3 linked regions of the Callithrix jacchus genome follow. The main gene of each other region encodes a partner of the protein of the gene in region 3 in a complex. Links are inferred from orthologs where the notes say so. Each region holds a gene or a part of one and is shown on either strand. Other genes may lie near its edges.

Evidence for each region. Proteins that work in one complex are often made in the same cells at the same time.
Region 1: MED26 (region 3) and MED4 share a complex: the UniProt entries of both Homo sapiens proteins name them as parts of the mediator complex. The link is inferred for Callithrix jacchus from reciprocal best matches to the Homo sapiens genes MED26 and MED4.
Region 2: MED26 (region 3) and MED13L share a complex: the UniProt entries of both Homo sapiens proteins name them as parts of the mediator complex. The link is inferred for Callithrix jacchus from reciprocal best matches to the Homo sapiens genes MED26 and MED13L.

What each region holds. Positions count from the first base shown.
Region 1 is NC_133502.1:67,842,003-67,849,863, forward strand, and holds the start of MED4 (mediator of RNA polymerase II transcription subunit 4), read left to right. Parts: upstream 1-2,614; 5' UTR 2,615-2,651; coding exon 2,652-2,776; intron 2,777-7,609; coding exon 7,610-7,676; intron 7,677-7,861. UniProt on the Homo sapiens protein: Component of the Mediator complex, a coactivator involved in the regulated transcription of nearly all RNA polymerase II-dependent genes.
Region 2 is NC_133510.1:119,300,819-119,308,477, reverse strand, and holds the start of MED13L (mediator of RNA polymerase II transcription subunit 13-like), read left to right. Parts: upstream 1-2,412; 5' UTR 2,413-2,474; coding exon 2,475-2,546; intron 2,547-7,659. UniProt on the Homo sapiens protein: Component of the Mediator complex, a coactivator involved in the regulated transcription of nearly all RNA polymerase II-dependent genes.
Region 3 is NC_133523.1:15,190,056-15,195,979, forward strand, and holds the end of MED26 (mediator of RNA polymerase II transcription subunit 26), read right to left. Parts: intron 5,197-5,924; coding exon 5,122-5,196; intron 4,503-5,121; coding exon 2,847-4,502; 3' UTR 1,748-2,846; downstream 1-1,747. UniProt on the Homo sapiens protein: Component of the Mediator complex, a coactivator involved in the regulated transcription of nearly all RNA polymerase II-dependent genes.

The DNA of each region.
Region 1 (7,861 bases), on a different chromosome or scaffold from region 3:
TCATTCTCTTGAATGCAAATATCCCTATACTGTGGAGATACCAAGCCTCATGATTACATCATTAATTTTTAATCTATCCTTGTTTGTTCTGATCCAAGTTTAACAAGCAACATCCTGTGATAATATGGCTTCTCCTGTAGGTTTGTCTATGGGAAAAATTATGTTTAACACTATTACATTTCATCATGAGTAAATCAGCATTCCAGATTATGCAGCAGTTTCTATGAGTAAATTTATTTAACTTGAGTCTCTGAAAGAGTTGTCAACTCTGGGTGCCCAGGAGGAGTCAGGCTCAGCACCTCCAAAAAGACAGAGTAGAGGATGAGCCCCTGAAGTGAAAGGACCGCAGGAACTACTGCCTCATGAAAGGGAGGCAGCCCCAGACTGTCTTTTATAATAGCAATATGGAGTCCTCATTCTCAATAGGCTTGTAACTTCGATTTTTTTCTGGTAGAGAGCGATCTTTACTACATTATTATCCCCAGGAAAAGGAGGCTAAGGTGTATTTTGCCGTTGACAACCAGTGCTGGTTTGGAATGTGTGCTACATCAATGACTTAAAACTATTTTAAGTTACTACCACTTATGTATTGTATTGATTTCTTCAGTTCAATAATTATCCTGAGTAATGAGCAAAACATTTTGTTGGAAGACGTATGGCTATAAAGATGGATTACAGAAATGTGGAAGCAACTCAACTGTTCATCGTCAGATGAATGGATAGACACAAGGTGTATACATACAATGGAATATTGTTCAGTCTTAAAAAGGAAAGAGATTCCAGCACAGGCTATGTCATGGATGAACCTGGACGACATTATGCTAAGTGACATAAGCCAGACACAAAAAGACAAATACTGTATGATTCTACTCATACGAGATACCTAGAGTAGCCAAACTTACAGAGACAGAAAGTAGAATGGTGGTTGACAGGACCTGGGGAAAGAAAGGACAGAGAGTTAACATTTAGTGAGTACAGAGTTTGTTTTACAAGATGAAAGGTTTTGGAGATGGGTGGTTGCTCAATAGCATGAATGTATTTAATGTCACTGAACTATCCACTTAATAATTAAGGTGGTAAATATTATGTTGTGTATGTTTTACCACACTTTTTTAAATGGGGGAAATTTTGATTATGGTTCTGTCCTAGGGTGCTTGCTACAGCCTGCAGGAGAGGCAGACAGGAGAGTTGGAACAGCAGTATGGAAATTGAGGCAAAAGAAAGGTTAACACTGTCTGCGGAGACCCCGGCCCATCTCATGAGGAAACTAACATAAGATGGAGACCATTATGTAATTCCCTCAAAGGCTTAAAAGTCACTTCACAGAAGCTTCTCATGGCTGCTTGAGAAACACTAGGCCCAGGGCCAGGCATGGGTACTCACGCCTATAACCCCAGCATTCTGGGAAGCCAAGGGGGGTGGGGGGGTGGATCACTTGAAGTCAGGAGTTCGAGACCAGCATGGCCAACATGGCGAAACCCTATCTGTACCAAAAATACAAAAATTAGCTGGAAGCGTGGCACGTGCCTGTAATCCCAACTATTCGTTAGGCTGACGCAGGAGAAGCGCTTGAACCGGAGAGGCGGAGACTGTAGCTAGTCGAGATTGCAACCATGCACTCCAGTCTGGGCAACAGAGTGAAACCCGTCAAAAAAAAAAAAAAAAAAAGAAGGAAGGAAAGAGAGAGAGAGAGAGGGCGGGGGGTAGGGAGAGAGAAAAGGAAGGAAAGGAGGAAAGGAGGGGAGGAGAGGGGAGGGGAGGGGAGGGGAGGGAAGAGGGAGAGGGATGGGGAGGGGGGAGGGGAGGGGAAGAGAGAGAGGGGTGGGGAGGGGGGAGGGGAGGGGAGGGAAGAGGGAGAGGGATGGGGAGGGGGGAGGGGAGGGAAGAGGGAGAGGGATGGGGAGGGGGGAGGGGAGGGGAAGAGAGAGAGGGATGGGGAGGGGGGAGGGGAGGGGAGGGAAGAGGGAGAGGGATGGGGAGGGGGGAGGGGAGGGAAGAGGGAGAGGGAGAGGGATGGGGAGGGGGGAGGGGAGGGAAGAGGGAGAGGGATGGGGAGGGGGGAGGGGAGGGGAGGTAAGAGGGAGAGGGATGGGGAGGGAAGAGGGAGAGGGATGGGGAGGGGGGAGGGGAGGGGAGGGAAGAGGGAGAGGGATGGGGAGGGGGAGGGGAGGGGAGGTAAGAGGGAGAGGGATGGGGAGGGGGAGGGGAGGGGAGGTAAGAGGGAGAGGGATGGGGAGGGGGGAAGGGAGGGGGGAGGGGGGAGGGAGAAGGGAGGGGAGGGGAGGAGGGGAGAGGAGAAAAGAAAAGAGAGAAAAGAAAAGAAAAGAAAAGAAAAGAAAAAAGAAAAGAAAAGAAAAGAAAAGAAAAGAAAAGAAAAGAAAGAAAAAAACATTATGCCCAGGAGAATCAGACTCTGGTCTACCCCTTGTTCTCGGTTCGGCTGTCGCTCCCAAGGTTTCTACCGGAAAGCCCTCGCTGGCCCAGCAGATGGCGCCGGTGTCCGCAGTGCGCCTCCAGGCGCACAGGGGGCGGTCTCGCCAGGGCTTTCATTCCTTCACTGGGTGACTCTTCTGCCTTCCGAGCCTGCCTACCCGCCACGCCCCTGCGTCAGCATGCACTGCGCGTGCGCCAGCGGCGGGACGGTCGGGAGTATGGCTGCGTCTTCGAGTGGTGAGAAGGAGAAGGAGCGGCTGGGAGGCGGCTTGGGAGTGGCAAGTGGTAACAGCACACGAGAGCGGCTGCTGTCTGCGCTTGAGGATTTGGAAGTCCTGTCTAGGTAATGGCTCGAGCCTTAGAGCCGGGCTGGAGCTGGGCCGGGGAACTGACCCCGGCCGGCCCTTGATTTGCGCTAGTTCTCTGCGCTTGGCGGGGAGGGCCGGCGCGGGAGTTTCGGGTGCACGATGGTCCTGGACGTGGGGTCCGCAGCCCTTTGGCACTCTGGGCGGCGGTTTTTCCCGATAGAGGGAATTTTAATAATGATAGTAATCGTGGAAATTAAGAAATTGCGCGGTCGGAGCCCCCTTCGTCCACGGCCGGCCACTTAACATTTATGGAACGCCCCTTGGGTGCCAGCCACTGGGGTCTTGAAGGGTAGGCTGGATGCCAGAGACAGACAGATGTGTAAACTGGAGTGGGGCCTGTTTTATTAGAGGGCTGCACACAGGCACCCTGAAGAAAGGGCTGCTTGGGAAGCATGAGCTGGCAGACTCACTAGGCAGCAGGTAGATGGAACGGCATGTGCAAAAGCCTGGCTTGGTGGGGTTGCAAATTGTTTGGGATGGTTGTGTGGCAGAGGTAGGAGACGAAATTAGATGTCACTCTTCATATTCTGTTACTTTTCATGATAAGTATCTCAAGTTGAAGTCTTCCTTGACTCTCTCACATTGGCTTGCGTGGTAAATTATCTTGGTTCTTCTACCTCCTAAAATGTGACTCAGAGTTGCCGTCTCGTATCTACTCCGCTGTTAATAACTGCTACTTAAATGCAGCCTCCCAGTTTTAATTGCCTCATGCTTCTGCACTTTATCCTTTTATATTGGCCGAGACCAGTTTTAAAAGGCATGTTATATCATTTTACTGCAGAAAAATGATATAAAACCTATATCGTTGGTAGGTTTGCATTGTCCAGTGAGGTAAAGTTCAAATTCCTTAGCCAGACTTACACATCTTCAGTGCAAATCCCAGTCTACCCTCAATTTGGTGGATGATTCATTTATCCTTCAGAATCCAGCTCAAATGTCACCTTTTCTGTAGCCAACATTCTTTGACAGCTTTAGAATAAATCTTATCTATTGTATTTTAAAATATACCTGATCTACTTATAATCGGCACTTTATGGTGTTAAATTTAGTCTTTGCCACAACATTACTACCAAGTTACCAGGTCAGCATGATATTTAATGATGGAAGAGAACCCTAAAACACATAGACACCAGAAATTAAATGGCTATGTGTTTAATCCACTGTTTAAAATAAACTGTATTAGGGCCGGGTATGGTGGCTCATGCCTGTAATCCCACCACTTTGGGAGGCCAAGGTGAGTGGATTGTTGGAACTTCTTCACAGAATGAAACTGCTCTGATGTGAATGACTTCCAGAAAAGTGTCGTGTGCTCACTCAGACATAGTTATGTGTACCGATTCTGTGATCTGTGAAGTTTGTCAGTTTCTGAATGGAATTTGTGTCTGGATTGCATTTATGAAAATGAGAAGAAAATTCACAAATGTACCTTACATATTTTTAGGTTGAGCATCTTTAAAAACAGTGGATTCGTAACTTAGGGTTTTTTTGTTTTGTTTTTAATACATATTTTATTGCGTTTTAGATTTTGGGGCACATGTGAAGAACATGCAAGATTGTTGCATAGGTACATACATGGCAATGTGGTTTGCTGCCTTCCTCCCCATCACCTATATCTGGCGTTTCTCCCCATGTTATCCCTCCCTGTTTTTTTTTTTTTAAAACTATTAACCTGATTATGTAGCCTTTCAGGATATTTATTACTTTGTAAAATGTAATTGGAGGAGGTAGTCTTTGGAGGAATTTAAAAAGTTGAAACACAAGTTGTAGCTAAACGTTTTTCTTTTTTCTTTTTTTTTTTGGGACAGAGTCTCGCTCTGTCACCCAGGCTGGAGTGTAGTGGCATGGTCTTGGCTCACTGCAACCCTTGCCTTCCAGGTTCAAGAGATTCTCCTGCCTCAGCCTCCTGAATAGCTGGGATTACAAACACCTGTCACTATACCTGGCTAATTTTTGTATTTTTAGTAGAGATGAGGTTTCACTATCTTGGCCAGGCTGGTCTTGAACTCCTGACCTTGTGATCCACTCACCTCAACCTCTCAGAGTGCTGGGATTACAGGTGTGAGCCACCGAGCCCGGGCACTAAACGATTTCTCTTAACCTGTTTGTAACTCAGAACTCATTGTCCCGCAGAACCATGTTGATAGGAGTCTTGAGATTTCCACACCAGCCTGTTAATTCTGTTTACCTGAAAAGTGTATTGCCACTAATAATGTAGGCTCTAACCCCTATGGAAATTTTATTTCTGTGGGGAAATGGGGCTGGATTCTAATGTAGTATACCAGGAATGCACCTTCTTTGTAGCAGGACAGGGCTCTAATTTCCACATCTTTAACCAGACAGAATGAGTGTGGGCTTTCTTTGGCCTTTTTTCCACGATTGGAGAGGACATAGGTTTCCATCTTGTCCTGGACTGTTACAGAACATGATTAAGTCTTAGAGACTTCTACCTCCCCTGTACTCCTGTCCCTAAATCAAGCCTTATAAAGCTTTCTGTAGACTCATACTCCCAGATTTGCAAGAACAGAGAAAGGCTTATCCCACATCTCCTGCCATAGCCCCACTCCAGTGAGCACCACCCTTACCCCACCTGAAACCAGCTTTTACTTAGACCAGAGGTTCTCAACTCTCTATGTCTCACTTACAGCATACACGAAAAGGTTGACATAACATGCTGTTTTCATACACCATTGATTAAATCCATCAGCCGGTCCTGTTAGCTCTACCTCCAAAAGATGTATGAAATCTGTCCATGTTTCTCCCGTCACCATTACTAAGTCCTGGGGCTAGGACCTAGTCAAAATCAGTATCTTTTTTTTTTTTTCTTTTTTGCCTGGAACACTACAAAAACCACCTAGCTTCCTGTTCTGGCCCTCTTATAGTCTGTTTACCAAATAGCTCAGTAGTTGTTTAAATGTATAAATCAGATCCTGCCATTTCCCTGTTTAAAATGATCGAGTGGCCTTTCATTGCATTTAGAATGAAACACTAATCTTTACCTTAACTACAAGGGGTGCATAATCCCACCCCTGGCTACCTGGCTGCTACATCCTCACTTTGCATCCGTCTCCCTAGTGTACTCTGCCCTGGCTACATCTCCTCAGATCCCATCTTTGGGCCACTGAACTATCTGTGTCTTCTGCCATGCTCTTTCCTCCCAGATCTCTTGGCTGACGTTTTTCATTTAATCCGTGTCTTATATCAAAGCTCTGCCCTCTGACCACCCTATTTAAGTAGCCAGCCTACTCAGTAGTCGCTAATAAAACACCACTTTATTTCCTTCCCAGCCCTTATCACTCTAGTTTTATTTCTTCTCTTAGTTATTCTTGTCTCCTATATTAGAATTTAAATGTCATTCTTCACTTTGATACCTTAAGTATCTAGAAAGTGCCTGGCACACAATAGGCACTCAATAAATATTTGATGAATTACTGAATGAAGACTTTGCATTCTTATATCTACTTTTTTCATTCATTGATTAATTCATAAATAATGGTATGGGAAAGTAGTAGTGGGAAGAAGGGTTGGGTCCAGTTATGACATGGTCCAGAAAAATGGTATGAGGCTAGCTGGAAGGAAGGTGGAAATTTGAAGGTAAAAATAGCCTGGTAGCCAGTGAGAAAGTACGAACACTTGGTCTGATCAGAGCAGTGTCATGTAGCTAGTTGTGCAGCTGCCCCTCCTGCATAATTTCTCAAAAGTCTCATCTATCAATAAGTTTGAAACTAATATATAAACATTACCTGCTATACTGTTTCCCAATCTTATTTTCCTGATCAGATACTAATTTTCATATAGGGAAACTGGCGTATTTATTAAGTGAACATTCTAAAAGGATGTCATTTTTTTATGTGTAAAAATCCCTCTTAGCTGATAGATGATTAATTTTAAAAATTCGGGCTGGGGAGTTGGGGAGGGATAACATGGGGAGAAATACCAGAAATAGCTGATGGGGAGGAAGGCAGCAAACCACATTGCTATGTATGTACCTATGCAACAGTCTTGCATGTTCTTCACATGTACCCCAAAACCTAAAACGCAATAAAATATATTTTTTAAAATTCAAATAAAGTGGAGAATCATTAAAAAATGATCCACACATCCCTTAATTGTCGTATTTTACCTTAAAATATATAACATATATTCATTCACTAATCATGTTATGTTAGACAGGAGTCAGAAAACTTTTTCTGCAAAGGCTAGGTAATAAATACTTTTGGGTTTATGGGCCATATAGTCTCTGCTGTAACAACTCAACTCTGCCTCTGTATTGGGAAAACTGCCATAGATAATATGTATAATGAGCAGACTGTCTTAGGAGAATGATATTTACAGAAACCGCAGATGTGCTGGATTTGGCTTGTAGACCCCAGATATAGGAGTTTTTCTTGCATAAATCACTCATAATGCATTGTCTACAAGTTCTAGTTTGATTTCTAGATCAAATCAAAATGAGAACTTAGCCTTTCATCAAGCAGTCTTAGGGCAGACTCCTTCTGAGTTTTTATGACTTTTCCCTGATCCTTTCTTTATAGCGGTCCTTTGCAAGCCTCTATTGAGTCTTTCCAAGCATTAGGCTTAGGTTTTTATAGAAAGAGCTCTTTCTATTCACAATCATATTTCATTGGTATTTAGGTAATAGCTATTTATATAATGATAGTATTGAGTAGAACTTTTATAAATAAGTTAGGTGACCAGCACAACAGAGTCTTGGTGAGTTGAAGTTCACAGTCATAGTGGACTGTAGGGAGCAGCCCTTGGTATTCAGCATGCCGTGAAAGGCTTTTTGTTGTTGTTGGTTTTTCTTGTAGGGAACTTATAGAAATGCTGGCAATTTCAAGAAACCAAAAGTTGTTACAGGCTGGAGAAGAAAACCAGGTAAGTGGCTTCTTTTTAAATTAATTAAATTCTCTTTGTTTTTTAATTAAAAAAAAAAAAAGTGGCCAGGCGCAGTGGCTCATGCCTATAATCCCAGCATTTTGGGAGGCCAAGACAGGTGGATTGCCTGAGGTCAGGAGTTCAAGAGGAGCCTGACCAACATGGTGAAAACCTGTCTCTACTAA
Region 2 (7,659 bases), on a different chromosome or scaffold from region 3:
AATCAGGATCAATTTTTGACAGATTAGGAAATGAGGCTAGGAGAGTTAAACTATGTTGATCAAAGTAATTCGATTAGAAGGATGGCAAAGCCAGCAGAGGCATCTTTCTAAGGAGTCTCCTGAATTCATGCTGGGCTCTGTAGTCAGATGGCCCTGGGTTTGGGCCGTGCACTAACTGAGAGATTGGAGATGTCACTGCACACCTCTGAGATTTACCTACTTACAGCCTAAGAATAATAACAGTATCTACTTGAGGTAGTTGTTCTGCCAATTATGTGAAATAATATAGGTAAGGACATTCATTGTTAACAATATGTTGCATGATAATACACATTACAACATGTTGTTCATGAGTCTCGCTTTGGCAGTATTTGTGGTAGTTCCAAAGCTCAGTTGAAGCGTCTAAGACTTCTTTCCTCTTATTATACACTCTCATCTTTCCCCTGCTTTCTACGGTTCCTCTATTATTTGTTTATTTTTTTTGAGAAGGGGCCTTTCTCTTTCATTCAGGCTGGAGTGCGGTGGTGTGATCTCAGCTCACTGCAGCCTGTGCCTCCAGCGCTCAAGTGATCCTCCCCACTCAGCCTCTCGAGTAGCTAGGGCTACAGGCACATGCCACTATGCCTGGCTAATTTTTGACGCGACGGGGGGATCTTGCTACTTTGCTCAGGCTTGTTTTAAACCTCTGATTAGGATTAAGGATTACCATTGTGAGCCACTGTGCCAGCCATCGACTCTTCATCTTTTACTCGACTCCACCTGAAACAGCTGGCTGTTGCATGTTTGGAGGCTTACTAGTGAAGACATTGTTTTCTCCTCCCCACATTTTTGGGGATCCGTTTCTTGAGGACTGGGAGAGCCTCTCTTCATAGCAGCACTCCTCGGGACTCCCAGACCACATACTCTCAGGAAATGTTGGTTATTGAATGAGTGCCGCTAAGAGGGAGGCTCCCAACACAGCCTTAACACAGCGCCTGGAAGTTATAACAGATTCTGGCACTATAGCAGGAGCTCAGGAAACAAGCAATGAATGAATGAATGAGTGCACACAGTAACTAGGAGTAAGGGTTCAATAAACATTTCCGTATTAAACGCACAGTGCCTGGAACACAGTGAGCGCTTACTCTACGGCAGCCGTGAATATCCCTGGGCGAAGCCTGTGAAACCTAGTCCAAGAGCTTGGCTTTACTGTGCGCGGGTTCGAATCCGGACTCCTCTTTCCCAGGTGTGCGATCTCGGGCAAGTGACTTAATCCCTTTGTGCTTCAGTTTTCTCCTCTCTAAAAGGCGGACCGCGGCGCGAGCCTTCGAGGACACACTCCCCAGAGCACTGGGACCCCCTGCCTGGCCCACTGAGCGGCCGCCGCGCCACGCCAGCCGGCCTGGAGAGCGGGGACACAGGCCTGGGGACCCTCGCCCTCCGCCGTGGCCGCCCCGGGTACGCCCGGGACCCATGGTCCCGCCCCGCCACGATCCGTGCACCGCGAGGGGGTGGGGCGGCCACGCGGGGCAGCCCACGGTAGCCACAGGCCGGCAGTCCATGGCCCGCCGGGAGCCCGGCCGCCCGCACTTCTTTCTCTCCCTTTCCGTCTCCCTCCCTCCCTCCCTCTTCCCGGCCTGAGGACCCGGCCGCGCTCGGCTCAGCAGCGCCTCCCGCGAGCCGCCACCGCCGCCGCCACTCCGGACCCCTCCCCCGCCCGCCTCCTGCTCCCCCCGCGCGGCCGGCGCCCGTCACGTGACCCGGCGCCAGCCAATGGCGGGCCGAGCCGCGGTCGGCGGCCGCCATTGCTGTCAGAGCGAGCTAGCCCGGGGAGGGAGGAGAAGCGAGGCTGACTGGGGAGGAGGGGGGGGTGGGGAGGAAGAGGAAGGAGGGGACGTCGCTCGGCTGCCGGGGTCGCCCGCTGGCTTCGTCCGCACCCCCCCCTTCGCGAGTTCGCGCTCCGCGGCGGCGGCGGCTCCGAGGCGGCGGCGGCGGCTCCGGGGCTCGCCTCCCCTCGCGCGCCGGCGGGGGCCGAGGGGGAGTCGGTGGCTGGAGATAAACAAGGCGGCGGCAGCGGCAGCGGCAGCAGCGGCGGCGGCCGAGGAGCAGGGAAGGCGGAGGCGGCGGCCGGCCCGCAGAGCCGGCCCGGGAGGCAGCGGCGGCCCTGAGAGGCGGGGAGGGCGCCGGGCCGCGCGGACAGCGCCCCCCGCCGCCGCCGAAGCCGCCGCAGCCGCCGCCGCCGCCGCCGCCCGAGCAGGAAGGAGCCGCGCGGCCGCCGCGGACCCCCCCGCCGGCCCGGGCCCGCCGCCCCCGGCGCGGCGTCGCCGCGGCGCCTCCCGCCTGCCCGCCGGCCCTCGCGCCCTCCCTCGGCGGCGGCGGCGGCGGCGGCCCGGCCGCCCCGCGCTCCTCGGCGAGGCGCCGCCGCCCGGCCCGACCTCGCCTCGGACGCCTCGCTCCGACATGCCCCGCTCTGGCGGCCGGGCTCGCGGAGGATCATGACTGCGGCAGCGAACTGGGTGGCGAACGGGGCGAGCCTGGAGGATTGTCACTCCAACCTCTTTTCGCTGGTGAGTAGCCGGGCTGCGGGGAGGGGGCTGTGCCGGGGAGGGGGGGTCCCCGACCTCCGCCGCCGACCAACTTTCTCCTCCCGCCGCCGGGACTTCGCCCCTCCCTCGCGTCTCCCCGCTGTTCGCCTCTCGCCGATTCTCCCCCTTTTGGATCGTCTCTCCCTCGCCTTGGATCTCATCCAGTGTTTATTTGGCTCTTTAAAAATCATTTGTGAGCGCGGCGCTCGGCGTGGAATTTGCATGTGGAAGTCTCAGAGCTGCGGATTCTGGGTCGCACTTCGAACGCCCACCCTCTGTTGCAATCGCACTCCCCTTCTCCTCCCCTTTCCCCCTTTTTCCCCCCTAAATGTGGAAGGCTTTGCCTTGTGCTGCCCGCGCCTCCGATCGGCAACCTCTTCCCCCCTTGTCGAATCGGGCTGCCTGCCCGCCCGCCTGCCTTTTGAATTTTTTTAAATTCCATAATGACACCTGCAATTCCGCCCGAAAACAGTTGATTGAATGCGATTGTGTCAGGAAAGGACTCTTGCACCCGAAGCTCCCGCGATTGTAAACATCGACAGCCGCCTGCCTCTCGGGGCTTACTACAGTGGAGAGCCGTAAAGCCATTGCACCGAGCCGACGGAAGGTGGAGAAAGCTTTTTCTTTCTCTCCTCCGGTGTCTTTTTAAAAACTGTTTTCTCTATCCTAACAACGAATCGACACACACACAAAAAAGCAACAAGCTGGGCGGTTTGATAACATCGCTTTTATCTGCCTTCGCCTCTCGCGCTCTCTCTCTGATAATTGACAACTTTTCCTTCGGATTTGAATCGCCTGCCTTAATCTTGAAGCAGTTAGGGTGTCAATTGTTCTCGTGGAAGCCTGGCACCCGCCGACGGCGTCTAGATTCATCGAAATTAAAAATGTATAGGGACCCAGCAACTCTTTCCTGGCGGTGGCAGTGACATTTGGTGGTAAATGCCATCTTTGCTTTTTATTGGGTCGTATTACCTCTGAAAACATTCACGTTGTTAAATCTGGCGTTTAGGCTAATAATTGCAGTGCGTGGTCTTTAAATATGTGCTTTGTGCATGAGTTACTGTATGTATAGCTATGTGCCCGGGAGAGTACGAATTTGTTTAAATATTGAGCGAAGATTTGTAAACAGATGTAAGGCAATTACGTTTCAAGCGTAGAATATAATTGGAAAATTGGCTGAACGGTTTATTTAATTTAGCCTTAAAAACACCCAACTTACTTTAAGTTGTGTACCCTGGTTTTTTTTTGGGTGGGGGAGGTGAGTCCTTTTTGGAGAGCATGCATTTTGGAAATTATTTTCTGTAACCCCCGCTGTAGATAGAAGCATTATTTCCCTCTTAATCCTTGTTTACACTGGATAAATAATTTAGTGTTCAAATTGTAATTAGTTACATTTAATTATGGGTGGCATGGATGCTTTTTTTCTATGAGACTAATGGCGAAATGCAAATTCTTGCCAACTTTCCAAACGTGTTATTTTATTAAACGTGTTACAGTATTTATGCAGATCAAAAAACCAACACGTGATTTTTACCTACAAAGACCCAGTGATACATTATTATTGCTCCCGCTCTAGTAAGATCAGGTAAATTTTATGAAATATTTTAATCCAGATATTTAATCTCAAAATTCAATTATAAGTTGTAACTCTTTCTCTTAGTATTGTAATAATTTTCCCTTGATCTTTTGGTATGTAGGAGTGAAACCTCTTTTGCCTCTTTTCCCTCCTCAGTCTGTCATTTAGTATCAGTCAGGTTCAGGGACTTTCATAGATTGGCAAAACATACTGATCAAAGTGTATTTAAAATGGTTTTTGTGTGGTGACTGGTGACCACAGTGACACAGGTAATTACAATAAACAAGTACAGAGATCTCCCAAATTATCACATACTATGCTGGCTGGTAATGACTGTGTATTTACAGATTCTGTAGACAAATGAAAGTGTATGTATAGCCAGTCTTTAGGGTTTACCATTTGTTTTATCTTTTTTTTTTTGAAAAAAAAAAAAAAAAAAAAAAAGCTTAAGTAAGGATGATAATGGTGCAGAGATAAAATGCTTGAGATTCTTTTGGAGAAACCCATTTGTAGGAGAGGATACTTTGATTTTGACTGACTATAAAGGTTTGTGTTTTAGATATTTCTCCCAAAACCTCTTTAAAACCACGATTCATTTTTGAATCTAATTTTTTAAAGTTATTTTTTAAGTAGCAACTTTGAAATAGAGAACCATCGAAGTGCTTAGGTGATAGATATTTTTAAAGGAACGTGGAATGTCTTCATTCTCTTGTACATGAAGTGTGGATAAGGTGCTATTAAAACACTGAATTAATTAAACTGCTGACTTGTACATTTTTCCGATTTCAAATTGAGATTTTTTTTCTCGAAAATGCTATACAGCAGCAGCAACCTGAAATATTAAAAATACATTGCCTAAACTACATTGTATAGAACAGTTACTTCTGAAGGAAATATAATCATTCCTTGTTCAAAATAAAGCATGTTTTTTTATAAGAACACTATGTGTTTAATAATAGCATGCATTTTTTTCTTTTGGCCTGTGGGTTTCATTTTTGAGCAGAGGAAGGTATTTATAAAGAATTTACCTAGATACTCATATTAGATTGAAATAAGAGATTAAAGTTCTGTACCATGGTAATACCCACCCACTTTATATTACCTTGAGGTGTTCATTATGGCTTACCGAAGGTTGATTGTGCAATCAGACACCTTAAGATTTTTGCTAGTCTTTTACTTATTTTCTAATTTTTTTACTGCATGGAATAATATTTCCTAAATTAATTTTTCAACATCCATTCCCTTTTCCTAATGTGTGAAAAACACCATTGTGTATATATGATATGGGTCATTGTATGTGTTTCTTATTCTTGCTGCTGTGAGATTTGTAGCTACAGTATTAAATGCATGCTTGGCTGTACCTTTCTAACTCAAAACTATTTTCTTATGCTGTCCATCATGTTTCCCGGCGACTTTTTATATATTCAGTCAGTTAATCATTCAGTTAAAAGTGTGTTAAATCTGCCTTTTTGAAAAGTGTAACAGTATACTCTATGTTATGTTAACTCATTCTTGTGGGAAGACATAATTTCCAGATGTTACATGTATATTTATTTTTCTCTATTGAGTTAGTATGGAGAAAGTGATTTTCTACCCTATAACTATATTTAAGTATGTACTCTTTGATATGAGGGAGTGATCTCTAATTCTCAGATATGTGTGCTCCATGTTCATGTTTTATTGCTTAGAATCTTCCTGACTATGGATACCTGGGTGATAATCTCAAATTCTTGTTGAATTGAGACACACTAATTGCGTACACACATTAGTGTATAATTCCTGTTGAAGACCATTAGTTCTATATTTGAAGCTTTTAAGTTAATCTGTTGTTGACCTAATTTATTTTTGTCTTAAGGGGTTTGTTTTTTTTGCAGAAAGTGAAGATAGTTGTAAATGTAGAAACTTTGAAATCTGGTTTTTATTTTTTGGAGCTAGAACAAAATGGGGTGGACTATCAAATAGAAATGAGGAAAAGGGACTTGATTTCTCTAATCTTCAAGGTGCCAAAATACTATACACAGGGTGTTTTTCCTTCCCAATTTATTGTAATTTTATAATTTATGTTGAAAGCATCTTTTTTTACATGGTGGTTTATTTTCATTTTCTTTATATTTTGAGACGGAGTTTTGCTCTTAGTGTTTTGCTGTTATTGCTCAGGCTGGAATGCAGTGGCACGCTCTTGGCTCACTGGTAACCTCTGTTTCCCAGGTTGATGCACTTCTCCTGCCTCAGTCTCCTGAGTAGCTGGGATTACAGGCATGCGCCACCACGCCCGGCTTGTTTTGTATTTTTAGTCAAGATGCAGTTTCTCTGTGTTGGTCAGGCTGGTCTTGAACTCTTGACCTCAGGTGATCCACCTGCCTCGGCCTCCCAAAGTGCTGGGATTACAGAAGTGAGCCACCTCGCCCAGCCCTCATTTTCTTTAATGAAAATATTTACAATCTGTTAATGTATGTTTTCTGTTTAGTATTTTGTTGTTAGTAGCACGTGGTGTTACAGTATTTATATATTTTTAATAGCAATAATTGCCACCCATAATAGTTGCCGTATTAACCTCCAATTGCTAGTAAATATTTTTAAGTACATAATAGACAGCAATTTAAGGCATAGTGTAGCAGTTTACTGGACCGTTTTAAAGAGCCATTTGTATGTGTGATGAGTTCATAATTTTAAAGAGACAATAATGTACCTTAGGCCTATATGCTACAAATATTTTGCTGTCCATGTTGCTTGAAGTACTCATTGGGAAGAAGGTTGGACCTATTTTTTGTGAGAAGAATGGGCAAAGGTTTAGGATAGTATGTGTTTATTGAGTTTATACCAAGTGTTTATATAGCTTATCATTTTCTTTTTTTTTTCTTTCTTTTTTTTTTTTTTTTTTGAGATGGGAGTCCCCCTCTGTTGCCCAGGCTGGAGTGCAGTGGTGCAGTCTCAGCTCACCGTGACCTCCTGCCCCCTTGTTCAAGTGATTCTCTTGCTTCAAACTCCTGAGCAGCTGGTATTACAGGCGCCTGCCACCATGCCCTACTAATTTTTTAGTATTTTTAGTAGGGACAGAATTTCACCATGCTGGTCTCGAACTCCTGACCTAGGTGATCCGCTGGCCTTGGCCTCACAAAGTGCTGGAATTACAGACCTGAGCCACCGTGCCCTGGCCTAGCTTATCATTTTCTTTGGAATGTTTTGGTTATTCATGAATATATTAGATGTTTGTTTGGTGAAAAACCTACCTCTTAAGGCATTCCTTTAAATAATGTTAAGGTTTGATAGTGTATTATATTAATTTGTTATGAAGAAATTGATCTTTTTTGTTCACTGACTACTTTAGCCTGGTTTTTAATTGTATTCTTCAAACACTTTCAGAGATCTCTTCCACTCTTGAGTTTAATAAAGAAGACACTTACTCACCAGTTTGTACTATGTGCTATAAATTGTGATAACTAGGCTAAGTTGGTTCTGTAATTATATTTGCCTAATAACTTAAAATTGAGATCAAACTCTCATCTCAGTGTAAATATG
Region 3 (5,924 bases):
CCCCTGCCACTCGGGACCGTGGCCATGGCAGCGTCCTTGGACACCTGTCTCCAAGGCTCTGCAGAAAGAGGAGGTGCCAAGCCCTGACCCCTGATGCCCAAGGACCAAGAGGGATGGACCAGCCCCTGGCCCCAGTGGAGGAAAACAGTCGAGGTTTTCAGGAAGATGAACTTATACTAATTCAAGGACGATAATTTTGTTCCCCAAATCGTGTGACTCCAACTTTTTCGGGGAGAGTGTGTTAAAATTTCGTTACAGTGTTTTTACTTGTCCAATTAGAAGCAGTAACCTTGGGCAGGGTGATTCAAGCTTGTAATCCCAGCACTTTGGGAGGCCAAGGCGGGCGGATTGCTTGAGCTCAGATGTTGGAGATCAGCCTTGGCAACATGGCAAAACCTCGTCTTTGCAAAAAATACCAAAATTAGCCACGTGTGGTGGTGCATGCCTGTGGTCCCCACTCCTAGGGAGGCTGAGGCTGGCTTGATCCCAGGTCAAGGCTGCAGTGAGCTATAATGGCATCACTGCACTCCAGCCTGGGTGGCAGAGCGAGACCTGGTCTCAAAGAAGAAAGCAGCAACCCAACTTGGTCCCCCAAATGTAGGGTATCTTAGCTTACCCTTGCCTTCTCAAAGGTAGCAACATTAGTACCCCCCTAGGCCCTCCTGGATACATGGAGACAGGTGTGGTAGTCCCTGCAGGCAGGGGCAGGGGGAGCTGCAGCCCATCCCAAAGCTCTAGAGATGCCGGTAGGAAGCCAAGCTCTGCACCCTAATATCCTCCAGCTGTGCCCTGTGTATCAGAGCAATGTCACGTCCTTGGGACACCACATATCAGCAGAGCTGTTAAACACGGGCACAGTGGTATAACTACAGGCACCCTACAGCACAGCTGAGTGTCAGACACTTCCACTGACATACTTTTAGTTCTCTTAACTCTGGGGTATTTTCACCCCCCAAATGGGGACATGTGCATAGGAGTGAAGAGATGGTTCGGACACACAGCTAGTGGGTGGCAGCCTGGGTTCAACCTCATCCTGCCTTCAAAGCCACTCCGCCCATGGCCTTTTCTTGGGGAAGGGGTGTGTCCTGGCACCAAGCTTTTGCCAGAAATCCCTGCTAGCTCTGAAACTGGCTTTGGGCTGAATGGAGTTTTACAGGCTGAAAGGAACCTTTGGTTTGCTCTGTAGTGCTGCATGTCTTAAGATGTAGCTGTTTTTTCATTTGTGAAATTAAGCAGATATAGGTAAGATGACCTATTCCAAAGTGAGAAACTAGAAAACCAGTCTTAGCTTACAGTTTTGGGGATGAGGGACAACTAAAATATTACCACTCCATAGCCAAGAGAGAAACATTTTTTTGGTGTCAGCACCAACCAGCTAGTAAGGCAGCTGAGGGCCAGGGCCAAGGGCTGGGCTGCCGGACACACACACAGCTCTGAGCCTCTGGGCCATCCCTTGTAAGAACTTTGTTGAGGTGGGAGTAGTCAGAGACCTGTGCTATGGAGCCTGCTCTCTACGCCAGTCAGGTCTGGGTGAGACAAGATAAACGTTCCTTAATGTGCCCCTGAATGAATAAAAGGTTCCTCCCAAATGCAGCAGCAGGCTAACAGGTGGATTTCAAGGCTATGCCCTACCCTGTCTCCCTATATCCCAGCTGTTGGAGGGTCTAGGTCTTCCTGGCTAATCCACAATCCAGGAAAGGGCTGATTTGGCAGTGAAGGGCCAAATAAGAAAAGATTCTCATACTGGTTTGTGCAAATGGGTTTTTTTATTTCCACATTTATATCACAAGGTGTCCACTTACTGGACCAAATAGCAAAGTTGCTCCCTTCTGCGTCCTGAGAACACAGAAGTCTATGTACTGTACATTCACTAAGGCTCCTTGTTTTTGCAAATCGCGTTTATGACAAATAACCATAAGGCAAACGAATCTAAAGGAATGGTTATGAGTGTTTCCAGCGTACAGACAGGTCTGCCCTCTCGCCCCACAGTACAGCATAAAACCAGTAGCACCCACAGTAACTTTTGTGTTGTTTAGGGGGGACTCTAGAAAGGTGAAGTTTTCTAGATGTGTACAGGAAGGGAAAAAAGGAAAGGGGGGAAGAAAGGAAAAGTTTGTTTGGTGGTCTGATGGAAGAGGAGTTAAACCCAAAAAAACTTAAATTTCTGCAGCATTTCTGTAAATACTGGGTTATAACTGAAACCAGATATAAACAGGTGGCTGCCCATGGAGTTGGGGTCATATTGGTTAGCCAGCTGGCCTCTCTGCCCAATGCCAGTGGCTCGCCACAGCTGAGGAGCTTCTGGCACACGATGGACAACACTGGCCTGACAGTGGCTGGGTAGGGGCAAACAGAGGCTGTGGCATGGCCCACTGTCTCTCAGACACTCGGGGCCAAATTAAAGAACAGGAAATGCAAGAGAGATGAGATGCGTGCTTCTGTTGCTGTGTTAAAGGTAACCTCTCCCACAGGTTTTCTGTGCCTGCCTGCAACTGAGGTCCCAGCATTCAGGTGCTGGAAAGTGTCCGCACCTCTTCAGGGGTGAGGGACTAACGCTTTTTATAGCTGGTTTGCTATAGAGTTCTGAACTCACTTTGCCGTCCTTCCTTCCGCACGGTCCTTCCTTCGCAATTTTGTTAGTAAACTGGTAGCAGCATTTCACAAAAGGAGAGTTTTGAGGGAAGGGTGCACAGAGAGACCACATGACTCCCGCCCCCTCCCTCCTGCCCAGGCCGGGCTCCCCGAGTTCCCAGCCGCAGGAGGCAGCTGGGCCCTGGCCACCCGCCCACCTGCCTGCCCGCCTGGCTTCTGCAAGATGGGAATGCACTTTGTGGCTGACGGGCCGGTCAGTCTAAGCAGACATAAGGCAGAATGTTCAAGCGCCCATCGTCACCGTGAGGATCGAGCGATATGCACTGCGTCCAGTCATACCAGTTACCCTGTGTGTCCTGACACCCGTTCACCCCCGGCCACTGGCTGGCCTGGATTCTGTTTAGATCGTCCTGTGTGACCTCCCGGGTCAGCCCAGGGAGGTCCGTGGGCGGGCTTTGAGGCACCAGCACGTGCAGCTGCCTGGCCCCTCGCCGGGTGCTCTCCTCCTGCTTCAGGTACTCAGACATGAAGTGGTGAGCCCCCGGGGTCTGTGCGCCCGAAGATGAGAGCAGGCTGCTCTGCCGGCTCAGGTAGGACTGGATGATCTCATTGCGTGACAGCTCCTTCCAGTTCGTCTGTTCGAAGGGGCTCTGGAGGCTGGCCTTGGCCTCCTGCTTGTCCAGCTCTGTCCTGGACGGCTGCTCCATGTGCACAGGGCTGTCTGCCCGCACTGGCTCTTTCTGGGTCAGAGGTTTGATCTGTCTTGTCATGGGGTCAAAGGTGAGCTTCCGCTCTTTTAACCGGACAGGCTTGACGCCCGCCTCGGCCACCTGCCCGTCCAAGTTAACCGTGTAGTCTCGAGGCCGGTACCTCTTCTTCTTTTTACTGTCCGAACCCCCAGAGGAGGCAGCATCACTGTCCGCCTTGGAGGAGTCTGGGGAGAAGCCTGCCCGGGACAGGAGGGGCTCGGCCGGGGATAGCCCAGCCTTGCAGCCTGGCCCTGCCAGCCGTTGGTGGCTCTCAGGCTGCTCAAGCCAGCGTACTGGGCTTTCCGAGCTGGACAGCAGCTCAGGCCGCCGCACAGGGGGTGTGGACGGCTGTGCCAGTGGAAGCGGTGACGGCACCTGTGTGGCATCAAGTGTCTGGGGCCGTGGTGAGGGGCTGGGCATGGAGCCCTTAGGTACATACAAGTTCTGCTGCCGGGCAAAGGAGCCCTCATGCCGTGAGTTCCGAGGACTGAAAGAGCAGCGAGGGGGCCCCTTGGGGTGGGGAGGCCCTGGAGTCTCGTCCACCCTGTCCAACTGCTGCAGCACTGAAGCCTTTGCCTGCAAGCAGGGCCCAGGGGGTTTACTCAGGCCTGGGGAGCTGGTGTGTGGCCGCACGGCATTGATGGGGATCTTGCCACCGTGCTTGTCGTTCTCACCACGTTCCAGGCGGCTGCCCTCCGGGCCTGCATGCCCGCTGCCATCCAGGGAGCCGGGGAAACTCTCTGGGCTCCCACTGATCCCATTGGTGGGGAGGGGGGATGAGTTGGGGACCAGGGGGTCATGGGTAGCTTTGGAGACCTTGGGTGGCGGCCCCGGGTGGCCAAGGTCACGCTGGTCACCCCGGCGCTTGCGGCTGCCCAGTCTGTCCAGCCGCTGCCCAGGCAGCCTCTGGAGGTCATTGCGGCTTTTCAGGTCGTGGATGCTCCTGGGCGGGCCGGCCGCCCCGACCTCTGGCCGGCAGTTGTGTGCGCCCCCGTTAGCAGAGCCGGTGGCCCCTGCCAGCCCCCGCAGTGCCACCTCATGCTGGTGTGCTGGCTCGATGAGCTTCTGCCAGCTCCGAAGTAGTTTCTTGGCCCGCTTGGCGAGCTCCTCGTTCTTGGTTTTCTTGCGGACGTCGTTGATGAGCTTCCCAAGCCGTGTTTCCTACAACCAGAAAGAGATGATGACATACTTTCAAGACAGGGGCTTCCCCACAAGCTGAGCCAGAAATGGTGGGAAGTGGCCCTGACTCTGAAATGACCCCATTCGCACTGAGCCCTAAACTGCCAGCTCCCCGACACAACCTCTGGGGATTTCTGGCCCTTTGTGACAATATTTTCTGAACCCAGTCCCCAGACCTTAAGGGTCACAGGTGGCTTCTTGGCAGTGCTTCCGGTGCCAGGGGGCTGTGGCCCGTCAGGTCACTGCAAGGACACTGCCAGAGAGGCTTTCTGGGTGAGAGGGTGCCGTTGCCAAGGTGACAGCACAGAGGGCCTGCTTCAAGTGGAGGGCTGGGGATGGTGCCACTCACTGGAGCCTTCCCCAAGCACACCTCTCCCGATGTCCCCCACGTGCCCACAAAGTGGGCATGCAGGATGGGATTAACATCACTCCGTCCCTGCAGTGCCCATGGGAGACCATGATCGTGGGGCACATGCTGTGACGGCACACTGCCTCTCTTGGTCCTCTGAAGCAAAGAGACTGATGTTCCCAAGGACCTGGTTTGGAGCCGCCCCCTGCCCCCCGTTCTGCCCTCCCCCATGCTGGGGTGTGGGATACTCACCTCAAGTGCCTCTTTGGTAATGGGGTATTTCTCCAGGCTGGAGATGACTTCCAGCACCGCCACCATGTTCCGGATCTGTGGAAATAAAAAGCCATTTGTTAGGTGCCTGTCCTCTCCCCCTGGGAGGCTGAGACACCCAGCCCCAGGCTGCTTGGGTCTCTCCCCAACCCCAGAGCAAGAGGAGCTGGAAGCACTGAAGCCCACACTCCAGGTAGTCTCCTACCTGCTCCCTGGGCCAACCTGGCACCCAGTGCTCATCCCCACCTGCCGTTCGACCTCCTCTAGTGCATGGTGTGTGGTCTGCCCCAAGCCCTTACACAGTGCATACCCACCCACCTACCTGCTGAAACCCAGGACTCTTAAATCAGAGCTGCTCCTGATAGTTAAGACGACCTCTACTCTGCCATATGATGGGAGTGGGAGAGGGGACACTGAAGAATTCATTGAATAAAATGCACAAAGCTTAGAAGATCAATATATAGGCCAGGAGTGGAAGCTCATACCTGTAATCCCAGCAGTTTGGGAGGCTGAGGCAGGCAGATCATGAGGTCAGGAGCTCGACACCAGCCTGGCCAACATAGTAAAACCCCGTTTCTACTAAAAATACAAAAATTAGCCAAGTGTGGTGGCACGTGCCTGTAGTCTCAGCTACTTGGGAGGCTGAGACAGAAGAATCGCTTGAACTCGGGAGGTGGAGGTTGCAGTGAGCCAAGATCGTGCCATTACACTCCAGCCTGGTGACAGAGTGAGACTCCATCTCAAAAACAAAAGCAAAAACAAAAACCCAAACCAAAAAAGATAAA